Linked DNA regions of Danio rerio. The main gene of each other region encodes a partner of the protein of the gene in region 2 in a complex. Links are inferred from orthologs where the notes say so. Each region holds a gene or a part of one and is shown on either strand. Other genes may lie near its edges.

Region 1 (3,758 bases), on a different chromosome or scaffold from region 2:
GTGTTCAAATGGTAATAATTCATTCATTTTCCGTCAGCTTAGTCCCTTTATTTATTAGGGGTTGCCACAGCAGAATAGACCGCCAATTATTCCAGCATACGTTTTACTCAGCGGATTCCCTTCCAGCTGCCACGCAGTACTGGGAAACATCCATACACACTCATTTCCACACATACACACAATTTAGTTTATTTAATTTACCTATAGCGCATGTCTTTGGACTGTGAGGGAAACCGGAGAACCCAGAGGAAACCCACACCAACACTGAAAGAACATGCAAACACAAAAACGAAAATTGACCTCACTGTGAGGCGACAGTATTAACTACTGAGCCATCATGTCGCCCCAAATGGTAATAATAATAATTTATAATATTTTTTGATTATAAAAATGATGAGGAAAAGACAACATTCAATTTGTTTTACTTTTAAAGCTCATAATATTTGCCCAAGAATTTCATAAATAAGTACAATTTAAATAGTGAACAAATTTCAAAACTTACAAATATTATAAGTTGTTGATAAGAACAAGAATGTTTGCATTTTTAATGTATGTTTGAGGAAATAAAATAATAACAAAAAAAAATATATTACATTTTCCCTAAATATTTGAGCAAAATGATATATGTGGATAAGTAAGCATTTTATAAAAGGTTTTTGGGTTCGGGATATCCATCATGAACAGATAATTGGCTGTTTTTTTCCTCATTTTTGATCAAGGACAAATCAAATAGTAAAAGTCAATAAAAATTTACATCAAATCAGAAAAATACTATTTGATAATATTATAATATAGTGATATGTCATATAGTGATAAGTTCACGTTTTCTTTAATATTTGGGAATCAACTAATTGATGTATAAACAAGAACAATATGAAAAGTGTAAATGTTTGTCAAGAAATCTTGAAAATGTGTTTATTTTCACACAAGTTCTGTCTCCTTTGCCCTTAAATGATACAAAATGCCGTCACTAACGTGTGTCCGTTAATTCAAAGTATATCAACTTAATAATTGATAAGCATATCTGCAGATCAGGTAGGCTATATTAAAATGAAAATTTTATTCGCATTATGTTTTTATATTAATATATTGTCAGTTACAAAGAGAGCATTTACCAAAATTCAATGAAAACCTTTAGTCGAGCTTTTATTTTGACACATTTAGAGACTTTTAATTTAACGGGTTTACGTGTACGTCTTGACGTAAGACGCACAGAACGTGTGCGCACATCCCTTGAAGTGGTAAGTCGTCGATTTTGTGCAACTTTAAATGAATGATACTCACTTTGTATCGTATTTATTGCTCACTTCAAACCTTAATTCTTACTTAACGCAAAAGCAGACACTGGATACATTTTATACGTCGCATGTAATACAAGCTGTTTTATAACGTTAGCTATAAAGATTTAACGTACACAACAATGGCTGTGTTTTGAATCCATGTAACGTTACCTTAAGTTTCATACTTAAACAGCTTTTTAAAACCGCCACCAAGCGTGTTGTCTTGTTAGGCAGCTCGAAAACACAAAACTATCTGCTAACAAGGCGTTTTATCTTCCTCCTCTAAAGTGCAGGCATCAAGCAGTCAAGATGTTTCGACCCAAACCCACACTGAAGGACAGACAGCATCTGTACAAGCTGATCATCAGTCAACTGCTGTATGACGGATACACCAACATCGCCAACAGCCTCATCAGTGAAGTCAAGCCGCAGAATGTGGTTTCTCCATCAGAGCAGCTCATGCAGCTCGCCAAGATAGGTGAGACTCCAGCACGCACAAATAAACCTTCTCACACTTTTAGTCCATTGGGCTAAAGTTGGTGTTATATTCCCACATTTAGATTTTCTCATTAATAAATAGAATTTCAGACAAGTGTTCTTTGCAAATTCTTTTTTCAATACTTTATTTTTATATCTATTTTTTAAGGAAGAAAAAGAAAAATACAAATAATAAATAATGACAAACAAAAAATACAATAACATATCAGAACTTAAATGAATAGTTGACTGGTCACATATTTCCTTACATGAAAAGCATATAAACATACATATATAGATCAGTTTACAATGTGTAAAGGCGTGAGCACAATCAATTTCTCTCAATATTGCACAGGGTTCATACGGTCATGAAAAACCTGCAAAGTCATGAAATTTCGACAATGCACTTTCCAGGCTTGGAAAAGTTTTTGAAAAACCCACAAGGGTCTGTAAAAGTCATGGTCTCCCTGCAGAGTTTTGTTCCAACACTAGTCAAACAAACCTGAACAAACTAATCAGTGTCTTCAAGATCACTTGAACTCTATAGGGAGGTCTGTTTGAATAGGGTTGGAGCTAAACTGTGCAGGACACCGGCCCTCCAGGACCGAGATTGCCCACCCCTGAGCTAGACACACAGCTGAATGCTATTGGTTTACAGAGATGCTTGTGCACAAGCCAGGAGAATGAAAACAAAGGAACCACCATTTTTAAAAACACAGCCAAGACATTGCACCGTACTAATAAATACACATAATAACGAATCATGGTCAATCCAAGCTTAAACAAACCTTGTTGTCGTCTTGATGAACGGCCACAAAGCCAAGAAGAACAAAATCTGCCATGTCCTGTTGTTGTTTTTCGAGCCCGTCTAAAAGTGTGAGCGGTTTCAGTTTCTTCAGAGACCTCACCGCACGTCTATATTTGAAATAAAAAAACTTCTTGAGCTCTAATTAATAACATGCTCGTGGTTATTTAAGTGCTTCTGACTTTCAGAAACGGACAAAGTGAGAGTGAAACGAGAAAAAACAAAGGAGAAGCTGGAAAAAACGAGCAGCAAATTATTCTTTCTGCAACCTAAAACATGATAAAAGTTAAACATGGCAGTTTGTTCATCACCTTTCAAACTACTTCAGAGGTTACATGTGCTGGTGAAGATTAAAGATACAGATGAGAGGTTTGCACTGACTGGGCTATATGTTGTTTTTGAACCTAAATAAGGACTAAATGTATGCTATGTGTAGTTTTTCTGTAATCAGTAACATATCGGAGCCTGTAAGGGTCTGTATGTGTCGTATATGTGGCATTTTTTTATTTCATATAATTGCAGATATTACAGTAGGCCATTTCACCCTATCATTGATTTGCAGTTTTATTCAAAGCATCTATATAGAAAAGTTAGTAATGAACATTTATACACAAGTATTTATATGTTCTAACTTTGAGAAGTGCTTTTCATAAGATATGTGAACGATCCATACAGCTCTACTGTAGACATTTTTTCGAGTAAAAATGATGTTGTCTGAAACTTTGTCATGCACCATGTTCACCAAAAGGGTACCTATAGTACCCTTTTGGCAGTGGAAATGCAAGCCTGATAAAGGAGACCCGTACCGACCCTTACCATACTGTACCAGTCAGTAAAGACACGCGCCAAGGTGTAATAAGTTCTGTGAAGATCTTTAGCAGTAGCGGTAAGTTTGGGGGTTTGCAAGGTTTTTTATTTTATAGAAAAAAATAACACATACTGGTTTTCAGCAAAAATACATTAAATTCTTCAGATGCATTAATAAAAATGTACATAATTTAAAAGAAAAATCAAAAGAGCCACATTTATCATTGTTTAAAATTAAACGAATGTAAGTTTATTTTTGAAGATGAATATTTTATCAGAGTTGTAATAAAAGCACCATACATTTAATATTCAATTCAAGTTTATACATAGGCTTTTGACCATAATTATTCTTCCAAAGCAGCTTCACAAAAGTGTGTGTTATTAAATTA
Region 2 (3,658 bases):
ATTTATCTTTTAATCAAGGCCTTAATCACAAAGCTACTTGTTTTGACGTGGAATTGTTTCACACAGACTCAAAGGGTTTATAGATTGCAGATTTTTGTATTCTTGCAGTACATCTGCACTCCTGAAACATTTAGTGAAATCATAATTTTGCCGTGTCGGACATCATGATACCAATCAGTGGCTCCATTGATCATCTGTTATTAATATTTTGGGAAAATCTTCACACACTTTATTTGTCTTGCATTTTATTCAGTTGTTTTATTTTTATTCTTTTAGAATACTAAAAAGTGCGCGACTTAGTTTGACTTTATGTCTTTTTCCCCCCCATAAAGACTAGCTCTTTCTACTAGTCCAGTACTAAATAATGCATCTCATGTTGACCTACTGCGCTAGTCATTTTGATCAAGGTAGAATTTAGATTGAAAAATTTAAATCTGTAATTGTAATCTGTGATTTGACACAACATATTTATCTGTTTGTAACAATGGTAACTTTTTTTTTCATGCCATAAATGGCAAGATTAATTTTAATTGTCATACTAAATTTTTTTTTGTAAATTTTTGTAAATTTTTTACATGGGTATATGTATACATTTGCTTGCATGCTGACTTTTAAGACACAACCTGTTAAATTATTGAGAACATTTCGAAGAATCGATATTGTGTGAATATAACCATTGTTGGTTGCATGGTGTTAATTTATAGATGAATGTATCATTTGTGGCTTATCAGCAGAAATAAATTCTTATTATTAAGCCCTGAAGTTATATTTGTCTGTTGTGAGATTTCTGGTTGTTTAACTCTGGCAGTGTTTGAGTATTAGTTTTTTCTGGAAAAAAAAAAGAATAAAAATACAAACTGAATCGTAACTGAAATACTACACTTGTTTTCCCTGTTGTTTTAAGCTGTTGTCATTGTCCGAGTGTAATAATTGACCTAGTTGTAGTTCATAATTGACACCCATCATACTTTTCTAGTTGCTTTACCTACTTTAATGCAGGTGGCTTTGAAAAAAGAAATTGTAGATTGGGGTGTCCAAACTTGGTCCTAGAGGGCTGGTGACCTGGAAAGTTTAATTCCAACCCTAATCAAACATACCTGGACCAGCTAATCAAGCTCCTACTAGACATACTAGAAACTTCCTGCCAGATGTGTTGAAGCAAGCTGGAGCTAAGCTCTGCAGAACATCGGCCCTCCAGGACTGAGTTTGGACACCCCTGCTCTAGATGCATCATGTAACTTTTTCCAAAGGCTTGCACTCCAAAAAGCAGCATTTCAACTAAAACAATACAAAACAATCAGCTAAGTAGTTTTGTCTATCATTTGCACACATAAAATGGATTAAATTGAATAAAGGTTGAGATGAAAATGAAATGCAGGGTTGTGTGAATGTCACATTGTTGACCTCAAAGTGTGTGGAGCCACTCAATTTCACTTCATACGAAAACGTGGTTTAATAATGTTGGTTTTCAAATGTGTCCACAGATCAAGGCTAAAAACTATGACAAGGTTGAAAAGGTAAGCATTTGTTGTCGTATGGCAGCCACGTGTTTAATTTATGGATCGTGTGAAATTGCTGTGACTTGTGACAGACTCATGAACCATAAAATCTGGGCTTTATCTAGGTCACCACTTTAGGTCCTCAGAGTAAACAAAGATGGTGTTAAGGGATTAAACGACGCCTGCTTCGCTAGAAACACCCTGTTTACTCTTCTCAGTCCATCAACGGTCAATATGATATTAAAATATGAGAGGGAAAAAAATATATTTCAGGATGGGGATACATCCGAGTTTGAGATCACAGTTCAAAGACAAAACATCGTTCTGGTTGTGTAGATCTAGGGTTCCCAAGTACTTTATTTTCAGACATGAATCCAAGGCCTGGAAAGTACTTAAAAACAAACATTGGTCCTCGAAAGTGCTTGAATTGAAAGTTTATCTTGTTTTTTTCAACAATTGTACTTTTAAACGGTTGCTTAAAATGGTCAATTGACATTCAAAACCTCATCTTTATGACATTTTAATGTAAATATTAAGTGTAGGTGAAATGTTAAGCTGGGAGGGATTTCCATTACGGTAAATATACTAGGGGTGTGAATTACAAAGGTGCTTGATTTTAAAATATTAGTGATTTTAAAAAGTCCTTATAAATCCTTGAATTTGGTGTCCATTAAAGGGTGGAAACCCTGTAGATTACATTTTTGTTTTTGTTCTTGGTAAAAGAAACCATTTTTCTTATATTTTTTTGCATTATCCTAAATTTATTATAAATGCCATGAGGATATATACTCTAATTATTCAGTATGTGCCATGATATTACAGTTTAATAATCATTGTAAATGCAAAATATTTTGATGCTTGATTATAATTCGTAATATCTTTATGTGAATTTAAATAGTCTAGTATTTGACTTTTTGTTTACCTCAGTCTGGAATCATTTCACAATGCAATTAAAACTAGCATTTATTAACCCTTGTGTACTGTTCAAATTTTCCACCCTTTCGTTATGTTTGGGGCTGTTTTTGCCCCATTTACTTTCATTATAATGACATTGTTTGATTCCAAAGTCATGACAGCATATAATCATGCAATCATGACAGTTGGTAGTTTATCATGTTGGGAAGATGTTGGGAAGACGTTGGGTAAAATTAGAACTTTTTACTGTTGATTATCTTGCAGTGCATAGTAAAGCTTCGTTTCTGCCATATAGATGGAGTATAGTGTGTATGTGTGAGAGCGAGCGAGATTTATCTTTATGTCTGACAAAGTCTAATTAAGCGGCTCAGCTGTCAGAACATGGTAAACATAATAAGTGTATTTTTGTGCACACTATAATCTGCTGTTATTCATATAAAAGCCGGAACGGTTTTTGCACAGGCCTATCTAAAAGGTTAATCTTGCCAACTGATTATCAACAGTAAAAATGACACATTTTTCCTCTTCCCAACGTGGTAAACCACCAACAATCTAGAATGCATGATTACATGGTGTCATGGCTTTGCAATCAAACAATGTCATTATAATGGAAGTCAATGGGGCAAAAAAAGCCCCAAACATAACGAAAGTGTAGTCAATTTGCCCAGAGTATTGAGTTTTGAAAAATTACCAAACATTTTCACAAAATATGTCTCAAAATAAGATTCAGAAATCATTTCATTTGCTAAAACACAGAACAAGCTCGAAAATCACCACAGAGTGGATGAAAACATCCCCAACAGCACACAAGGGTTAAAATGTGTTTCTGCAATTGTTTGTGCTGGGTTTTTGTCCTGTGGGAGTTTGTTCACTGTTCAATGTTTTGCTCAGTTATTTCAAAGGTGCTTGATGAAGGTCCTGCACATTGACCTGTGGAAGTGCTACCTCTCGTACGTCCGGGAAACCAAAGGAAAACTTCCCAGCTATAAGTAAGTCACACAAATGTGTTTCCAACACTTCACAGTTGTGGCAGACAGACTTCTTAATGTCAATGTCTAGAATAAAGTCATTTCATTTCACACTAATATACTTTGTGATTAACTTTATATTTATATAACTTTATATTAGAGGACTCAAAACCATATTTAAATCTAGGAAGCATGTTTATAGTGTTATGAGAATAGGAAGTATTTTAGATACTACCTTATTTCTAGTCAACGCTAATTAAAAAGTAATGCAAACTG

Evidence for each region. The genes of interacting proteins can lie anywhere in the genome.
Region 1: the proteins of cstf3 (region 2) and cstf1 are in contact, whole or in part, in a crystal structure (PDB 6B3X), measured with the Homo sapiens proteins. The link is inferred for Danio rerio from reciprocal best matches to the Homo sapiens genes CSTF3 and CSTF1. Residues at the interface, in NP_001317.1 of Homo sapiens: Tyr581, Pro582, Lys583, Pro584, Asp585, Thr586, Gln588, Met589, Ile590, Pro591, Phe592, Pro594; in NP_001028693.1 of Homo sapiens: Arg118, Glu216, Ala217, His226, Pro227, Ser228, Asp230, Phe231, Thr240, Arg242, Leu243, Tyr244, Cys251, Phe252, Val253, Ser254, Cys255, Tyr270, Ser272, Ser273, Ala274, Asn275, Gly291, Val292, Ser293, Asn294.

The regions. Positions count from the first base shown.
Region 1 is NC_133186.1:29,932,468-29,936,225, reverse strand, and holds the start of cstf1 (cleavage stimulation factor subunit 1), read left to right. Parts: upstream 1-1,199; 5' UTR 1,200-1,441; intron 1,442-1,568; 5' UTR 1,569-1,589; coding exon 1,590-1,758; intron 1,759-3,758. UniProt on the Homo sapiens protein: One of the multiple factors required for polyadenylation and 3'-end cleavage of mammalian pre-mRNAs. May be responsible for the interaction of CSTF with other factors to form a stable complex on the pre-mRNA.
Region 2 is NC_133193.1:48,719,460-48,723,117, reverse strand, and holds part of cstf3 (cleavage stimulation factor subunit 3), read left to right. Parts: intron 1-1,484; coding exon 1,485-1,517; intron 1,518-3,305; coding exon 3,306-3,403; intron 3,404-3,658. UniProt on the Homo sapiens protein: One of the multiple factors required for polyadenylation and 3'-end cleavage of mammalian pre-mRNAs.